4 linked regions of the Saccharomyces cerevisiae S288C genome follow. The gene in region 4 interacts genetically with the main gene of each other region. Each region holds a gene or a part of one and is shown on either strand. Other genes may lie near its edges.

Region 1 (6,985 bases), on a different chromosome or scaffold from region 4:
AATTTATTCCAAGGCCAAAACAACACGATGAATGGCTTTATTTTTTTGTTATTCCTGACATGAAGCTTTATGTAATTAAGGAAACGGACATCGAGGAATTTGCATCTTTTTTAGATGAAGGAGCTATTCAAGCACCAAAGCTATCCTTCCAGGATTATTTAAGCGGTAAGGCCAAGGCTTCCCAACAGGTTCATGAAGTGCATCATAGAAAGCTTACAAGGTTTCAGGGTGAAACTTTTCTAAGAGATTGGAACTTAGTCTGTGGGCATTATAAGAGAGATGCTAAGTGTGGAGAAATGGGACCCGACATAATTGCAGCATTTCAAGATGAAAAGCTTTTTCCTGAGAATAATCTAGCCTTAATTTCTCATATTGGGGGTCATATTTTTGCTGGTAATGTCATTTTCTATAAACTATTCGGCAGAGAAAAGATGCAAAACAAGCTGGATTCATTATGGTTTGGTAAAGTTTACCCACACAACTTGAAGCTGTTATGTGAAAACTTGGAAAACGGTAAAATCATCGACGAAATGTACAGAGGTGGCATATCGATGAATTAAAACGGTTTCCTTTTAAAACAGAAATAAAGATGAGGTGAAATTTTATATTTCTTATATTTAAAGCTATCATATATTCCTTGTACATATATTTATTAAGAAAATACATTAACACGCCTTTATACTTGGTATTATTACTGTAAAATCATTACATGTAATTTGTTCTGACTTCGTTGATTGTTTGAATTATATCCTCCACTTGTACACTCTTTAAATTTTTGGCCAAAAATTCCTGCTCATTCAAGGAAAGTCTCAGGAAATTTTCACATAAATCACCATCAATAACTTTACGTACAGGGGCATAATAGCTTCTGTATTCTTGGTGGTCTCTACCTAAAATGGAACAGGAACCCTCACATATTATTTCATCCTCTATACCATGCCGTCCTTGTAACACAACACTTCCAGATTCCTCTTCATCGTCTTCCTTACGCATATTGTTATTCTTCTTTCTTGATTCATAATCTAAATAAAACGTATCATCCGCCTCAGCCATTATATTCTCAATGTTTCCCATCATAAAAACATTCCCCTTGGATAATAAGGGGATAAAGCATCCCACGGTTCCTTGTAAGCCCATATAGATACAACCAGGTCTATCAGAATTTGAAAGGCTGTCCAGGATATGGAAATCAGTGATGATATCATTAACAAAGAAGTGGTTCAGTAGTTGAAACTTGAACTTGCAATCATAAGTATTGGGTAATTTCTGCTGTAAAGTGATGACGTCTAGTGGGTACTTGATGGCCCCATTAGATAATTCGCTGGGATCATGATTTGACATGATTTTTTCGCACTCTGGTGGAGACCTTAAAGTCCACGCATTTCCATATCTATCAGCGCCTATAACAGTTGCCTCATCTAGAAATTTCAATACCGTCACATGGCGTTTTACAGAGTCATCTACGTACGGAATAAATACATTCCCCGCAGGATCCCAGATAAATAAAGTGACAGATTCATGTATATCACCAACGGCCAGTCTTTCATAATTCCACTGGTGCATAGACACAATTTTTGTTATGGATACCGGGGTCTGTGTTACGGACCTTCTTAATAATTGCTTTTTCCCCAAACCATAAAGGACAATAGTGGAGCCCATGGCTGTCAGCAAGAAGTTTTTAAACTTCAACATAGCATGTATTGGTGAAATGATTTCTGTTTGGTGAAGTAATTCAATATCAAAAGATAGTTTATCTTTGTTAACTAATATCTTGTATGTTAACAGCCTTTTGTCGCCAGCACAAATGATCAAATGATCAGCTTGTCTTGTGAAATCTATTATAGCAGCGGAAACGCAATCGATATCGTCCAGTATCTTGTATAAATGATCCGAACTGCCAAACTTTAAGCATTCACCATCAATTTGCAGTGATATACGGCATTGTTTCTTACCACTGTGATTATCAATAAACAAAATGCTTTTCGGATTATTGGGAAATGATAAAATAGTACGAGGTCGGAATGTAGATATTTGTAACATTTCCATTTCTTCTTCCATTTCATCTTCTTCCTCTTCATTGCTTTCATCTCCTCCACCGTTCTCTTGCTTGTTAACACTTGATTCATGAACGTGAAACCAGTTATCCAAAGTTGGAAAGTTGGAAACTCTGCCAATATTTAAGCGTCCTGAGCTCGATATTGAACAAACACCGTTGATTGCAACATCTGCGTTAACAAATTTGGAACAACTTAGCATGTTTTGATCCTTTAACTGCCGTATGGTCCACACATTTTTCCACGTGTAGCTTACCCATGTAGAAGAGGAATGGCAAACCACGCATGACATCCATTTAGCTCCACTACTATTTATTTCTTCTTCTTCTTTTTCATCATCATCGTCTTCTTCTTCTTCTTCTTCTTCCTCATTATTTAGTGATACAGATATCTCACGCAAATACGAAAGGGAAACAGGCTTCAAGCCAAGGAATCGCCTTTTTATGTCAGTGAACGATCCGTCAACATCCCCTATATGAAATTTCATGTAAACGCCATTTTCTAAACCTACATGCAAATTAAGCTGTCCTATTGAGGAATCTCTAACCATTATCATGTCAGAAATCTTTTCACTAACTAATTGCAAACTTATTACAGTTAAAAAATCTTCCTTTTGGTCTTTAAGAGACATTATTTTGATCATACCCTCATTGTCAGCAATGGCTAATAAATCAGCATGCTGCGTATCTTGCACAATCGCAACTTTAGAGGGCATTGTGTCCAATTCTGGGTGGGTGGTTAATTCGATTAACGAATCCGAAGATACATCTATCTTGAAATAAACCAATTCGTAATTTGATAATGATATAATTAGTTGTGTTTTCGAGGACGTGGCACATACAATACGAATTCCCGCTGGTGGCACCCAAGTCAGCTTATTAGAATACCTAGATTTACCAGTCGGTACGATATGTCTTAGTTCTGCGGTGCATACTTGGATAATAGAGTGTGAGCCCATTAGGCATGTATGAATTGTTGTGTCCTGAGAGAGCTTGAAAGCTGAACGCGTTGCTTCATCCGGTGTTAGTTCCTCCATGGACTCGTTGTCAATTTGTAGTATCATAGTTTTCTTGGGAAAAGTTATGAACAAAAGAGTATTGTTATCGCCGGTTGTTGCAGGATCGGGTATTAGCCATAACTTGGTTGCGTTCGGGGGTAAACTAGTAGATATCAAATTAGAGTAATTCACAGCATTTGTTAAAGTTATTATCTTGTTGTTTGTAAAATGTTTAGTGGCGATAGACAGTGGCGAATCACTGACAATTTGAGATTTTATTGAAGGGTTCAAATTCAATTGTTGCGATAATATGCTCAAATTCTGCAACTTTATGGATGGTTCGAAAACTAGCGACTTATTTGGATCTTTTGAGGTTAAAACATTAGAAAAATCATTTTTCTCTACACCAAGTTTCTCAAACTGGAAAAGAAAGTTGTTATTCATTTCAGATAGTGCAAAAAGATAACCGTTTTTGAAAATGTGTAATTGGTGTGAATTTTGGATTGTATCAAAGTAGGACAATTGAACTAAAGGTCTATTTCTATCATTAGTGTCTGGACTTACAGTTAACTTAAAAAGATCGCCATGGTTAGATTGTAAAAGTACGAAAAAATCATTTTTCAATTTCTGCACTATGCCTGATATGATTGTTACATTTTTATGACGGCTATTTGTGATAGATCTTTTGGGTATTTCCACTTTCAGGCTGAAAAATCCGTTCATATCCTTTACCAGAATATGATTTTCGAAGCCTATGACAACAAAAGGGTTGAAAAGGGTATCATAGTCAGCATCATAGTTGTTGTCGCTTAGCGAAGTTGTTATATTATATCGCGATAGATCTGGCAAACTCAGTACGAAATTGGCAGATGGGTTAACTAAATAATCTGCCTTCTTGACGATGTGATTCAAACCCAACTCGAGGACATAAAATATCAAGTGTACTGATAGTTGAGTAGCGGCATTGTCGATTTCTAAGGTAACAAAACATGGATTATTGAAATTTACATCAACAACTGCCATATCCAGCGTTACCATATGGGGTCTGATGATTTCCAATGGAGACGAAATCCTCAATTTTTGAGCATAATCAACGAGGAAACACAATTTATTTTGTTCGACAGATGAGAGAATGATACAACGCCCATTAGGGTCAATTTCCATGTATGATATGGGAGAGACTCTTCGAAGGGTGGTCCTCGTCAATGGCTGGTTCACTAAAGTCTTAAGTCTAAGAGCACCTGCATGCATAATGATTTGCACGATACTTAGGTTACCAGAATCGGAAGTTAGCGCTAGAAAAGTGGGCCAGTTGGAAGCTTTTGCCCTTGACCCTGAATGCGGCAGATCCAGCGACTTCATCGAGGTTATCGTCGCAAACAGGTTTTGAAACTTGGCAATAAGCTTTAGTTCCCCATCTGCAGTATCATAAAGTTCTAAATGCGTCTCAGTAGCTACGCACAATTGCGACTGCTCACGCTTGGACCCTGCTTCCAGATCGACGAAGTGTCCGATGCAGGAGTGCACGAAATTCGTCTGTTTCTTTAAAGTAAGATGGTACAAGTATAGCTCATCATCTTTAGCAACCATTGTTATGTTATGGTCACTCCTTGTTCTTCTTTCAGCCTCTCGTTTTAAACCGTCATAAGCCATCGTTGTGCTAGCTTGCCCAAATAGTTTACGCATCTTCGCCGTGTGGGGCGACAAGCTTACTACTGCCATTTTGCCACCTCCCCACATTTAATGATGGAAAATATTATAAAAAAGCGAGAAAAGAAGCTAATGGTGCCATTGTTTTCCTTTTTAGAGAGGGGCAGCAGAGATCGGTGGACTTTGTTTTGATAGAGGGCGATTGCAAGCATGGAGATTTACATTAGACTTAACGCAGATGTCGAGCACGACTATGCGTTTCAGGTGTCAAATGAAGACACCATAAATAACAAAATTAAGAAGATTTTCCCTTCCAAGACGGGTTTGGCGGACTTAATGGTGCTGAGACCATCAATTTTCCATGAGAAGGAGCCCGTAAAGTTCTATAAGTCTATCCATCCAGGGTACCTGTCCGAAGGTGGTTGTTTGATGTTCCATTATGAAGCTGATAACGAAGAAAATCTCGAGGAGTTGAATGACTCCAAGCCGCTTATTGACCAGTTGTGGCCTGGTCAGCTAGTTGTTCCGGAGTGGAAGCTATCCAAGAAAAACATATGGGTATACACCATTATTATGTTGGCCTGGCTATATACCGATTTGCCCGACGCCATTTCTCCAACCCCAGGTATTTGTTTGACTAATCAATTGTCTAGACTATTGATTCCTGTAGCCAAGCACATGGATTTACCTGAAATTGCCGCTAAACTCGAACAAGAAGTTCAGGCAAACTATTCTAGTCTCGTAGCTCAATGGCTTTTCTTTGTCATGCACATTTTCAAAGTGGGCATAATTACTTTATTCCTCAAATTAGGCATTGCCAACCCCATCAGCTTCAATCCTTACAAGTTATGGAGTTTGAGAGATTTAACTTCTCCTTCTGCTAACGGCGCTAAGAATTCTGGCGGCAATAACAACACTACTGACTTAAAGACACGTTTGCGCTCTCTGGGCTGGATTGGTGCTAAGAGAGCTACTTACGACGATTACCAGACTAACTATTACAACTATGTCATAGATAAGATGGGTGGTGCAGTTGCTGCTTATAGAGCGGGCGCGATTAGGAAAGCTGCAGCACCAGGTATCCAACTTGTGGCTGGAGAGGGTTTCCAAAGTCCTCTAGAAGATAGGTTCACTGCTTCCACTTTCACGGCTATTAAAACCGAACGGAAATTCATTTTAAGTGAAGAATACTTTGTGGAGCTGGAAAACAATCTAAAGAAGATCTTGGAAGAGTATGACGGGGATATTGGTAAGATGAATGCTGAAATTAGGAGGTTTAGAAGGTTTGGTATTTATGAACCAGATGAAAAACTGGCCTCGCTAGTTAAGCTCAGAAGAGAAATTGCTGATGAGAAAGAGAAAGCATCAAACAATGATGCTACTTTTGGTATAAAAAAGAATGATTTGAAAAAATCTAATTAATTGTAAAACCAAAACACTACCATCCAGACTTTTTTTTTATTCAACCATAGCCTTTAACTACTACTACTACTACTAGTACTACTACTATTACTATTACTATTACTACTACTAGAGGGCCTTTTTTTACTCCTAGTATTTTTGTACTATCCTATTTACTCTCGTTGTTTTTATTAGTTTTTTCACTCTTTTTTTCAATTCCTCACGAATCTACTGTTTTCGTAGTGCTTTTTTTTGTTTCATTGTTTATAGCCATCAATGGTTTTTGTTACTATCATTATCATTATAAATATTTCATACAATATATACAATATATATACAATAAATGAGAATCGATTTACTTTTAATGCATTTTTGCAGTCAAAAAAAGCTTCGTTTACATTTATATGTATTTATGTTTGTATTTCTGGGGGAAATATGCCTTTATGGGCGTATATACTCTTTCGTACGTTTCTACATCCGAGTAGCAGTAGTAACTCGGTATTGTGCTTTCGTCGCCATAATCAGGACTATCATAATCGAATTTTTTTTGCGTTTTGTTGTCACCACATATGGTCCCTTCTTCCTCATCATCTATCAATATTCCCAATTCGTAGACAGTTCTACTTAAATTCTCGTCAATGACTTTAGACACATACTTTCGTAGTTTCAATTCATACCCCTTAACCTTCCTTTTACTAGACAAAAATCTCGGACGTATAAAAATGATGAATATTATTATGCTTAGAATTAATTTGCTTATTAAAATTACCCATATGATAAACGAGAACAACATGAAGGACAAGATCACACTTTCTTCGTAATTTGTCTTAGCAATATGTTTTATCTTGTTTATTATTCCATTTAGGTCATCTAAATTACCTAG
Region 2 (6,354 bases), on a different chromosome or scaffold from region 4:
GTGACGGTAGAGATGGTACTGAATAAATACGAACATGAAGTGAGTCAAGAATTGGAATCGCCAGGGTCCCAGTCACAGTTGAGCGAATACTGTGCCGGTCTCAAGTTGTATTTTGACAAGTGCCTGGGTAATATGCTTTTATATAGGTTGGAACGGCTGCAATATGACGAACTTCTGAAAAAATCATCGAAGGATCAAAAGCCACTAGTACCAATTAGAATTTATGGGGCTATCCATCTGTTAAGGTTGATAAGTGTTTTACCAGAGCTGATCTCGTCTACTACAATGGATCTACAAAGCTGTCAGCTTTTAATCAAACAAACCGAAGACTTCTTGGTTTGGTTGTTGATGCATGTGGACGAATACTTCAATGACAAGGATCCAAATAGAAGTGACGATGCTCTGTATGTAAATACGTCTAGCCAATACGAAGGAGTGGCTTTAGGTATGTGAGACGTTTATATTCTAGCTTGGGATTATTTCTAGTATTTAGTTCTTCCGTATTTATGCAATAACTCTTCACAGAATATCTCGTGTAAGAATATGGACACTGTTCGTGGCACTTTACGAAATTCAAGTTTATTCTCTTTGCAAGGTTCTTAGGGTAATGGCAGCTCTGAAAGGGGCTTGTCGAGTTAAAACATCATTAATGATTATATTTTATTTTTGTTATTTTTCTGACGTATCCATCGTTTCGCATCTAGTATGAGCTTACTAAGAGCTTCGTATATAATGTACTATCATCTTCACTTACTCGTTTGCACACTACCAAGTTCTGTCCAGGGCTCCTTGTTTTATATTTTTAGTGTAATTGCATGGTCTATGCAACATGATTAAAGCAGCATCACACGCGCCATTATATAATCTAAAATAGTCCGTTGTCGTGCGCATTCTTCTGTGGCGCGTCTTATATGAGAAAAGGGTCTTTCGAAGTCATTAACCCTCTGACGCAGCAAAAAACAACTTTATGCAGGGTTTACTTCATACAGAAAGACACTTGCTTGTTGTCAATGGCTAAAAAGGACCTCAGGCAAAAGCGTAGGATAATTACAAGTTGTTCGAAAAGGAGTTGTTTATATTTATTCATCGCTCAATGCAGAAGCATAACAATTGTAATAACACTCATTATAGATAGAGCTTGCATTAAATACACGTCTATCCTTTCAACCCAAGGCATTTGAAGGAAAGGAATGAAAAAGAGGAAACGTTTGATATTCGTCAGGCTATTACTTGACTATGAAACATGTACAGGTTGGTCTACTGCTGTAAAAAAAAAAAAAAGTCCTTAACTCGCTTATTTAAGGGAACCATTATTTTCGGGGATTGTAAATTTACTGACTATGCAATGAGTTTAACAGGCTGATCAATTATGCCCTAGCAAAAAAAACTGAAATGATGCACCTCGAACTCTAGTGCATTAGCTTGAAGCTTTATTCTCCTGCTAAAAAAAAAAAAAAAGTACTAATTTGCTTGGAAGCGAGCACCCTATTGCTTTTAAAATTCTCCATATGGGCTTCCCCACCTACCTCTTAAAAGTTATGTCATCGGTCTTGAATTGTTTCCAAAGACCTTCCGCTTTATCAATTCTTTCCTCGTATATCAGTGTCCTCTAACAAGACTACCGTGCTTTTTCGTGGATTTCATGTAGGAGCCAATCGTTTTTAAGAAAAATTACTGTCAAGGTAGTTTGAGAAGAAATTGCGAGATATCACATGTGCGCTTTCCTTCTCCACTGATCGAATTACAGTAAGACTTTTAAAGATTCTAAGTAATTAGAATAGTTAACTGTTTTTTTTGTTTTTTTTTTTTTTCGTTCTGCTTTATTTTTTTATTTTTTTTGTGAGTTGCGAACAGCTTCTTTAATAGTTTTAAAGGCTGTATTGAGATTCTAGGACTCATCTACTATGTTTATAATTATAAAAAGTGACCAATAAAGCAGTGAAGCTAGCTCTTAATATTGGCAAAAATGCACGGCAAAGAGTTGGCTGGCAGGCTCCGGAAAAGGGAAAATGATAACGATTTATCACCAAATTCAAGCTCTTCTCCTGCTGAAAGATTTAGGTGTCCACATCCCGAATGTAATAAAACTTTCTCACGTCAGGAACATTTATCAAGACACAAGCTAAACCACTGGCCGAAAGAGATATATGTTTGTTCTTACGTGCTTCCTACTACAAATGCGCCTTGCAATAAAACGTTTGTAAGGAAAGATTTACTGATCAGACATGAAAAGAGGCATTCAAAGGTGAAAAACAGATTAAGTCGGCCAAGCAAGGACCAGATTTCCTCATCAAATAAGGACTTCTCCAAAAATGCACCATATAATCCCAGTGAAGTACCCCTTTCTACGCAAAGTGGAACTTCTACGATTAACTTAATAAAAAATTCTGTGAATCCACCACCATCTATCACACAAGAATCAAAATTTCGTCCTTTTCTTCAACAGGCTCAACAACCTCAACAGGTTCAGCAATCACAACAACCACAACAAATTCAACAACTGCAGCAACTTCAATTCCCGCAGCAACTGCGGGCACCATTGCAACAACCTATGTTGCAGCAACAAATGCATCCACAGCAAGCAAGTCCTACTTTTCCATCGTATGATCCTCGAATAAGGAACAACGGTCAAAATGGTAATCAATTTTTTAATTTGATATTTGATAACCGTACAGGCGTTAATGGTTTTGAAGTGGATGCAGCGAATAACAACGGTAATGGCAATGACCAAAATATGAATATCAATCCAGCCGTGCAGCAGCAACGATATCAAGACAGAAATTTTGCAAGTAGTTCATATCAGCAGCCACTCCAGCCACTTACCCAGGATCAACAACAGGAACAGTACTTTCAGCAGCAAAAGCTTGCCCAACAGCAACAGCAACAGCAACAGCAACAACAACAACAACAACAATTACCACCCCAGAATCCATTTGGAGATCCATTAACATCTTCCTCTAGCGGTGCTAATTTGTCAGTTATGCAGGACCTTTTTTCTACAAATTTTTTGAACAGCGACCCATTACAATCTTTCATGCAAGAACTTTCTGAAGCCCCGCAAGTAAGTATTGAAGATACATTTTCTGACAAGAATACAATCCCACCTAATGAAAAACCTGTTCAACAAGACGAAGGGTTCCAGAATCCTCCAGTTATGTTTGAGTTACCACAAGATAACATTAAAATTCCCAAAGCACAACCGAAGTTCAACGATAACCCCAGTACTTCAGTGAAGGACAATCTTTCCAGTCAGAAGCTTAATATCAACGAGCTAAAACGGAGATCATCTAAAGATTCAGGAGTAGGAAACAATTCCTCTCTGAACTACAAGGAACAGTTGCGTCACTCTATGAAAAGTGTCCCGTCATTTTTCCATCCGGATCCCTTAACAAAGTATAAGATATCAAAAGAAAAATGTCAAGAAATGTTTTCATTTGTTCCAGAATTACGCTATGTCTCTATTGAATCTATACACAAATCGTTAAAATCCTTCTGGTTGAACTTCCATCCACAATACGGTCTGCTTCACAAACCCTCTTTTCACGTTGATAAACAGCCTGCAATTTTGAATTTGGCACTAATTATGACTGGCGCAAGTTTTTTGGGAAGCGAGTATCGTGAACAGATTAGTGACCCAATTTGTGGTCCTCTAAGATGGATAATTTTTTCTCATGCTGATTTTCAACCACCTTCTAAAACCTACATCATTCAAAGTTTATTATTAGTCGAAGGATATGAAAAAACAAGTACGAACAGGTATTTACATGAAAGGTCTTTTTTACATCACGGAACGACCATTCAATTGCTAAGGCGAACGCCCTCTTTAGGCGGCCATCCCTTAATGGTCAAAACCGGCAAAACCTCTGGGGAAAATTCAATTCAAGACCCACAAGAAGTTTATAAAAGATGGATTGATTTTGAAATGTTGAAAAGAATAGCTTTCTACGCATTTTATATGGACACTACACATGCTGTAGTGTTTGGATACTGGAATTTATTTATTAATAGCAATCAGATTCAACTAACTTTACCCTGTCCAGATCAAGTGTGGGAATCTTATGATTTGAGCTATGAAACTCTGATGGAGCATGGGTATGGCAGCACAAAGAGAGATGAGAATAATACATTTTTGTCTGCGTTAATGCAATTAATGAAAAATGTCATTCAAATCTTACGAAATAATAATATACGGAGAAACAAAGTCAACAATGGTGGAATAGAGAGTACCCCTACAGACTTGGAAAGCACTACAGATTGGAATATTCAGAGTCTTTTTGGTAAAAAGATTCTTTTGGCGGGGATAATTTCGATCTTATTTCAATGTCAAGAGGAAGTTAATGGTGACTATTTCATTACTAACTTTAGGGGCGGAATCACTGATCATTTAGGCCTTTCATGGAAAGATATTTTATCATTTGCAATGAACTATTGGCTTCACGAAGTTCAGAAAAGCTGCACTGATCCGAAAGCATGTAGGATAAGTACTCCATCTGAGGAGACACTAACGAACAGAAAAATTGACGAGGATAATGGAGATGGACTATGTGATGATGATTTGGACTTGCTTTCCTCCGATAATCCGTCAAATTGTAAAATTCCCGTTATTCATATCTCTCAAATTGTCCTACGTATTCTTCATCATGATTATTACATATATGCAGGAGCACCTTGGAGAATGAATGTACCAATTGGTCGCGATGAATATGACATGATCAGTCGCAGGATTCTCCAGTTCGCTAAGGACCCCTACAATGGGGGTGTAGCTGTAGTCTATGCCTTCCAGTTCTTATTTGAAATGTTTATCATTAAGGAAAATAACGTTCCAACCGTAGTGAAGAGCTACAATATAAATTCTGATCCTGTGATTACTAGACCCTATGCGATTGCATTAACTTCACTCCTAATTTGGTCTTGTAATTTTGCATTACATGGCTGTGAAGTTAGCATATGGGATAATACAGAAGCCTCAAAGGATGAATGCTTTCAACCAGATGACAGCAATGGTGGAAACATTCTAGGCAATACTGATAATAATGGATCGACGATTGCAAACAACAATTTAAAGGAAAAGAACAATTACATTCCAATAGAAAGTTTTGAAGTTTACCTATTGAGAATGTATCGGAACTTATATGTGGATAGCTCACTCGATGTAGTTAGCTTTCAGAATGACGTTTGGGCAAAAGCGAGTTTACTTCAACATATTTCTAATACCCACTTTCTATGCGGGATGATGCAGTTTATGAGAGATATTTTCAACAAGAGCTACTGGGATTTAGGGCGCGAATTCGGAAAACTCTTCGATAATTGTTTGGAAAGGAGCCTAGGGAAAACGTCACCCACTTGTCATAACATGTTTGATGTTTAGTTTATATTCGTATATTGGTAAATCATCATATTTATTGTTAGATTAATGAAATGGTTATGAAAACATTTGTAAACTGCCAGCTGTGAAATTGTTAAATAAAATCGACACTGTATATAATTGCGCTTCATATTTTACATGTAAGTATGATCTATGTTTTACGTAGGAGAAAGAGCTTTCTTTATTGGTCATCCCACTGCAAGCGGTTATGAAAAATTTCTGCAGCATCGCTTTAGGGGAGTACTGCCGGCATGTTGGAAAAACATCTCGAAACATATATTGAATCTCAGAATTAACCAGTATTCGAAGCAAAGAAAAAAATATTTCGAAGATAGATAAATACCTCAAGACGAACCTGTCTTTTATATGTTAAGATTTGATATCTAATCTCACCAGACTTTCAAGTTTTATCTCACAACCTCGCGTTTGCCATAATTTTCGAAGTAGCCTGATCCCTTCTTTGTGAACATATTTCACTGGAAAAGTACATAACTTTCATAGCGTAGTTTGAAAGTATGCAGCTTTGCTACCGACCTTAAAGAATTATTATACTATTATGGAGCAAATCAATTCGAACAGTAGAAAAAAGAAGCAACAATTGGAAGTATTCAAATATTTTGCAAGTGTCCTTACAAAAGAGGACAAGCCTATTAGTATCAGTAATGGTATGTTAGATATGCCGACAGTGAACTCCAGTAAACTCACAGCAGGAAATGGGAAACCTGACACGGAGAAGCTTACAGGAGAACTAATTTTAACATACGACGATTTCATTGAACTGATATCTAGCTCAAAGACTATTTATTCGAAGTTTACGGACCATTCGTTCAATTTGAACCAGATACCCAAGAACGTTTTCGGGTGTATTTTCTTCGCTATTGATGAACAAAACAAGGGATATCTGACGCTTAATGATTGGTTTTATTTTAATAATTTATTAGAATATGATAATTATCATCTCATTATTCTATATGAGTTCTTTAGGAAAT
Region 3 (3,168 bases), on a different chromosome or scaffold from region 4:
TAATTCGCCATCCTCATAACCACTGAAAAATCGAAGTTAACCAAAAGGAAAGTTGAAATGGAGGAAGTGTTCCGTTTTTACTCGAACTCTAGAAATATCTTCATTCATAAAAGCCTTTCATTAAAACCATCCACCATTGATGACCCCAAAAGTGGATATGGCCTTTTCGTAGAACCTTCGAAGTTCAAGAATGATGAATTGAAAAGTGAAACTATCCAATTGCTCCGAATCCCTAAGCGCTGCACGTTTAATATAAACACACTTCTGGCTCTCTTGGGAGATGAGGACGAATTTTCTTCAAAGGAAGAATTTCAAAGAACTAATGACAAAATTAAGATTGCTCTTCGTGAAATAATGGCTCATCCGAATTTCAGTGTGTTCCTGACAGAAACAAATTTACTCATAATTTATTTCATGATATTTCAAACTATTCGTAGTCGTTATGAGATTCCCGAAAATATCCAATATTATTTAGAAAATGTTTTAATGAGCATTGAAGTAGAAACAGCCATGGATTCTATTGAAAACTTAGCTACTGATTATGGACATTATCCACAGATTTTTGGCCTTCGAGAGACGCTAAATTTATTTAAAGAACTGTTTCACGACGTCTTGAATTTAAGTGATATCAAACATCTTTATTCTGCAATAATTTCACGTTGTTTAGAGATACCAGAAAGGGCCGATACCAAAAGTGAAGAATTCACGGTCCATTCTACTTTAGTCCCTATTGTAGATTTTGCCAACCATGAAGGCACCCAAAAAAATGCTTATTTTGACATCGACCCTTCAAATAATGACGTTTTACTTCTATTGGATACAAAAGCGGTCCAAAGTGAACTCACAAAACCTATTGAAGTTTTCATTAGTTACTCACCAACAGAGGATTTATTTTCCATGCTTGTAACATATGGATTCACCCCAGATTTTAGAGGGAATTCCCAATTTTGGACTGTATCCTTTGACAGGTGCTTTTTAAGAAACTATGATGGACCAGATAAAACTACAAATTTAAGATTGTTTTACAAATGGATGCACATAAATCCAGTGGTACCACTAGTTAAATACGAGCACAACGGAAAGACTCGCTGGTTTCTCAATGACACCACGCCTGAATTTGATATGCTTTTGCTCCCATTCATTCCATCGATAGATGATGGCAAAATTGCTCGGTGGGCGTACGATTCCACATGTCATTTGATGTTCACGAAAATCCATTGTCTGATAAATCCCGAGGCCAACGAACATGCGTTAATGATTGCAGAAAACTACCGCTCTCTCATTAAAGAGAAAGAGTCAAATGGTGACGATTTCATAAATTTACCGCCACTAGCTTGGTCATTGCGTTACAAAGATACAGAAAACGATTGTGTACGGCAAAGACATATATGCAGTGAAGATGCGGTCGCTGTACTTAAACAAGAAGAAATGCAAGACTCAACCAAAACCAAATCCCAGTTTACCAGTTTCTTTCGTAAATTTTTAGAGTTTCGTAGATCCAAAATTATTAGGCCTACCAGTGATTCAAAAGTTGCAAGCATATTATACCAGCAGGAACTGGAAATAATTGCTGACTTAGCAAAAGCTATCGATAGCAGCTCTACCATTTTTTTCAGCGATCTGAATGTTACATTGGACACCGAACCAGAACGGCTCCCCCCTCTAAGGTTTTTAGATGATTACATAGAGATCTCTGCGGATAAGCAGGAGCCAAGCCCAATTTGTGAGGATCTTTCTTATTATACACCCAGCAGGTTTACTGATTTTTTTCAAGAAGAGGTAAGCCAATATGCGGCTTTCTTTCAGGATGACTAGATGAGTACCACTTACGATCTTGTATATAAATGTTTTTAGTTGTCCTTTCTTCTACATTAAAAGCATCACAAAGAACAATCTGACGCGTTTTTCCACTGTCTCTTTCTCGCGTTTTATTCTTTTCCGTTTGAGACAAAAAAAGAGGAGCTTTGTAGTGTAATACTACTAGTTACTTAAGGGAACACATCAAGCATTCGGTGTCTCACAGGCTACTATGAAATATAATATAGTGCATGGAATTTGCCTATTATTTGCTATTACCCAAGCTGTAGGGGCTGTCCATTTTTATGCGAAGTCCGGGGAAACCAAATGCTTCTATGAACACTTATCCCGGGGAAACCTACTGATTGGGGATTTAGACCTATATGTAGAAAAGGATGGTCTGTTTGAAGAGGACCCTGAATCCAGTCTGACAATAACTGTCGATGAAACATTCGATAACGACCATCGTGTCCTAAATCAAAAAAACTCACACACAGGTGATGTTACTTTTACAGCTTTAGACACAGGTGAACATAGATTTTGCTTCACTCCATTCTACAGCAAGAAATCAGCCACACTAAGAGTATTCATCGAACTAGAAATTGGCAATGTTGAAGCGCTTGACAGCAAGAAAAAAGAAGATATGAATTCACTTAAGGGGAGGGTAGGCCAGTTGACTCAAAGGCTATCTTCTATTCGTAAGGAGCAAGACGCTATCAGAGAAAAAGAGGCAGAATTCAGAAATCAAAGTGAATCAGCTAACAGCAAGATAATGACGTGGTCTGTGTTCCAACTTCTCATATTGCTGGGCACCTGTGCCTTCCAGCTACGCTATCTCAAGAATTTCTTTGTCAAACAGAAGGTAGTATAATATACCATGTTTGTTATATAGAGTTTATATATCGCTCATTACGAATCGGTGCAATGAGCTCTTCGATATGAAATATTCCTTAGCTTAGTAATAAGAGTGACTTAAGCTGATGCCGTTGACTGCAAAAGGAAGTAAATAGAAGTCAATAACAATGAATGACTACCATCTCGAGGATACCACGTCTGAACTTGAAGCATTAAGATTGGAGAATGCACAATTAAGAGAGCAGCTTGCCAAGAGAGAAGACAGCAGCCGCGACTACCCATTATCTTTGGAAGAATACCAACGTTACGGAAGACAAATGATTGTTGAAGAAACAGGTGGTGTAGCAGGTCAAGTCAAGTTGAAAAATACAAAAGTTTTGGTAGTTGGTGCTGGAGGTTTGGGATGTCCCGCCTTGCCCTACTTAGCGGGCGCTGGCGTGGGCCAAATAGGCATAGTAGATAACGATGTGGTGGAGACTTCCAATTTGCATAGGCAGGTTCTTCATGATTCTAGCA
Region 4 (3,381 bases):
TTCCTTAGCCCTATGTATATTTACTGTATAGGATAAATGAAATACCAAAAATAAAAAAGTATAAAACGAAAGAATATAACCCTCGTTTATATCTGGTCATTTGTCTTGCTCATTTGTTAGCATTTAAACTTGCTAATACGAAACTCAATGTAAAGAATACTTTAAAACCCATGTATTCTGTACCCAATAACCCATCAATAAGCAGTTTCTTCAAGTCTACATCTTTCAAAACAATTACAGATTTGATATTTTTCAAATTAATGCGAATCCATCCCTTGTACCGTAACCATTCACAAAGAAGCATGCTTGTAATACCGACATACATAAACAAAATTGATATCTTAGCCACCGTAACTCCTAAAACAACACCGAATAATGATCCCAAAAACATCTGCTTGTGACTACTTATTTTGTTCCTCCTTTCCTCGGTAATTGCCGTACTGTTGCCCACAGTTGGTTCCAAGGGACCCTGTTGTTTGACAGCTGCCCCTAAAGAATCATTGAATATCAACTTAGAAGGCTGGCGATTCATCAAGTAAAAGCCACCAGCAACTATGCCAGCACCGCCTAACCCTACAGAGCGAGTTAAGGGCTTTCCTAATTTATTGGCGACATTAAACCTCCATAAGGGGACGTTCTTGAACATGCGCTTCCCAACATTCAAATTACGAAACACCAACCGTTGCATATTAAAAGCCAAAGTCATTTTACACCTATTATTTTAAGTTCTTCCTTCTTGCCCCTCTAGCGTTATGCTGTTGTATGTATAATAAGATGCCTTGTTTAACCAATTTCAACAACCCCTAGGTTTTCTAGCACTTGTTGGAAAACTTAAATATGAAATGACGGATTTGTAAAATTTTCACGACACAACAGCTTCACTTCTAATAATGTATAAAATATAATTTATGTGTGAACATAGATGGTTACAATTTTACATAGGTAAATATGACCTCTTATTCGAAGGAAGAAGCCCTCCAACTCTTTCATTCTGATTTAGGTCGGAGTTCGTGCGCTTGTTTGCGTCTTCTAGCACCTTCCCTGGCCCAAAACTCGTCTCTATAAATCTCCCATCCTTCTCTAATCTCTGCACTAAATGCTCTGGGGTTGAGGACTAATTTCACATCCACAGCTCCGATCCTCGGTTGGGATTGTATCGTGACACTTTTCCAAAATTTCACAATGGCATTATCGTCTTTAAGCCACAGAAATTTTTTCAAACAATAAATATTACAATAAGCAATTGTTCGACTCACAAATCTTACTGAATCTGTGTATTTCTCGTCCCACGTAGACTGTACTTTAACTAGCTTCACATTAAACTGCCTAATCCCTTTATTAGTAGAGGTAAAAAATCTTCTTGGAATGACGATAGTTCTTCTATATTGTCCACTGATATGAAAAAGAACTACAGTAATGGAAATGAAAGAAAGAGTGAATTGCAAAATAACCCTATGGAGGCCCTTGACATAATCTGAAGTGAAATAAAGTTCGTAGAAGGTAAATGCGCCTACACCGGCCATAGACGCTAAGAACAAAGTGAATTGCCACTTCAGTATCTTTTGTTCGTGAGCTTGGCGTCTTAAATCATCCTCCAGTATCAACAAATTCCTGAAAATCATCGATGCTGGAGAGATATTACTGGAGTTCCGTATATTCTTCGCACTGGATGTCTTGCTAGTAGAACGCCTGCGAGGCCCGGACACTATACTGGCACTATCATCCTGGGCATGGTTCCCCACATCGCCTATGCTCTCTGGCTCCATGACCTCCTTTATTTAGCTTTCCACTACCTTTCTTCCTTTGTGTGTATAATCAATAGATTTTCGCTAAATTTCGCATCTTCCCTTTTAAGAATAATTAGTATTTAATTTTACTTTGACTTTATTGTTGAGTGAAGAAACAAAGCAAATATACGTTAGGAAAAAGACACGAACAGAGAAGACCGATCTTGATGCTACCCTATATGGACCAAGTACTAAGGGCATTTTATCAGAGCACCCATTGGAGTACGCAAAATAGCTACGAGGATATAACGGCCACATCGAGAACATTATTAGATTTCCGAATTCCCTCAGCAATACACCTGCAAATTTCCAACAAATCTACTCCCAATACATTCAATTCTTTAGATTTTTCTACGAGGTCCAGGATAAATGGTTCTCTGAGTTATTTATACTCCGATGCACAGCAATTGGAGAAATTCATGCGCAACTCTACTGATATCCCATTACAAGATGCCACCGAAACATACAGACAATTGCAACCAAACCTCAATTTCAGTGTTAGTAGTGCGAATACGTTGAGTAGTGACAACACCACAGTCGACAATGACAAGAAATTACTACATGACTCGAAATTTGTTAAAAAATCCCTTTATTATGGTAGAATGTACTACCCCAGCTCTGATTTAGAAGCAATGATAATAAAACGACTAAGTCCACAAACCCAATTTATGCTTAAGGGTGTCAGTAGTTTCAAAGAAAGCTTAAACGTTTTAACGTGCTATTTTCAAAGAGATTCTCACCGCAATTTACAGGAGTGGATATTTTCCACCAGTGATCTATTATGTGGTTATAGAGTATTACACAATTTCCTTACCACGCCTTCCAAGTTTAACACCTCACTGTACAATAATTCTTCGTTGTCGCTTGGTGCTGAATTTTGGTTAGGGTTAGTAAGTTTAAGCCCCGGTTGTTCGACAACTTTAAGATATTACACACATTCTACAAACACAGGACGACCACTAACTTTGACATTATCTTGGAATCCATTATTCGGCCATATATCCTCCACATATTCGGCCAAGACAGGGACAAATTCTACTTTTTGCGCGAAGTATGATTTTAATCTTTATTCGATTGAATCAAATCTTTCATTTGGGTGCGAATTTTGGCAAAAAAAGCATCATTTGCTTGAAACCAATAAAAACAATAATGATAAATTAGAACCAATCTCCGACGAATTGGTTGATATAAATCCAAACAGCAGAGCGACTAAACTACTGCACGAAAATGTACCGGATCTGAATTCAGCTGTTAACGATATTCCTTCTACACTAGATATACCTGTTCACAAACAAAAGCTATTAAATGATTTAACTTATGCATTCTCGTCGTCATTAAGAAAAATCGATGAAGAAAGATCTACCATCGAAAAATTTGATAACAAAATAAATAGTTCCATTTTTACCAGTGTTTGGAAATTAAGCACGTCATTACGTGACAAGACTTTAAAACTATTATGGGAAGGCAAATGGAGGGGATTTTTAATATCTGCCGGGACAGAGCTGGTATTCACTAGAGGCTTTCAAGAAAGTTTATCCGATGATGAAAAGAATGATAATGCAATATCTATATCAGCAACTGATACAGAAAACGG

Evidence for each region.
Region 1: mutations in SPO7 (region 4) and RSE1 together harm fitness more than expected from each alone (negative genetic interaction), as found in Saccharomyces cerevisiae (one large-scale study listed by BioGRID).
Region 2: mutations in SPO7 (region 4) and SDD4 together harm fitness more than expected from each alone (negative genetic interaction), as found in Saccharomyces cerevisiae (one large-scale study listed by BioGRID).
Region 3: mutations in SPO7 (region 4) and ERP5 together harm fitness more than expected from each alone (negative genetic interaction), as found in Saccharomyces cerevisiae (one large-scale study listed by BioGRID).

What each region holds. Positions count from the first base shown.
Region 1 is NC_001145.3:173,515-180,499, forward strand, and holds RSE1 (U2 snRNP complex subunit RSE1), read right to left. Parts: upstream 4,792-6,985; coding exon 706-4,791; downstream 1-705. Other genes in the region: AIM32 (Aim32p), read left to right, coding at 1-560; GSF2 (Gsf2p), read left to right, coding at 4,912-6,123; pheromone-regulated K(+) transporter PRM6, read right to left, coding at 6,503-6,985. UniProt on the Saccharomyces cerevisiae protein: Involved in G2/M transition. Required for pre-mRNA splicing and endoplasmic reticulum (ER) to Golgi secretion pathway. U2 snRNPs associated protein required for the pre-spliceosome assembly.
Region 2 is NC_001148.4:602,925-609,278, reverse strand, and holds SDD4 (Sdd4p), read left to right. Parts: upstream 1-1,966; coding exon 1,967-5,368; downstream 5,369-6,354. Other genes in the region: EAF3 (Eaf3p), read left to right, coding at 1-453; AGC1 (citrin), read left to right, coding at 5,922-6,354.
Region 3 is NC_001140.6:330,253-333,420, forward strand, and holds ERP5 (Erp5p), read left to right. Parts: upstream 1-2,029; coding exon 2,030-2,668; downstream 2,669-3,168. Other genes in the region: CTM1 (cytochrome c lysine N-methyltransferase), read left to right, coding at 58-1,815; UBA4 (Uba4p), read left to right, coding at 2,820-3,168. UniProt on the Saccharomyces cerevisiae protein: Involved in vesicular protein trafficking.
Region 4 is NC_001133.9:134,239-137,619, reverse strand, and holds SPO7 (Nem1-Spo7 phosphatase regulatory subunit SPO7), read right to left. Parts: upstream 1,767-3,381; coding exon 987-1,766; downstream 1-986. Other genes in the region: FUN14 (Fun14p), read right to left, coding at 110-706; MDM10 (Mdm10p), read left to right, coding at 1,955-3,381. UniProt on the Saccharomyces cerevisiae protein: Regulatory component of the NEM1-SPO7 complex which acts as a phosphatase and dephosphorylates the phosphatidic acid phosphohydrolase PAH1. Essential for the formation of a spherical nucleus and meiotic division.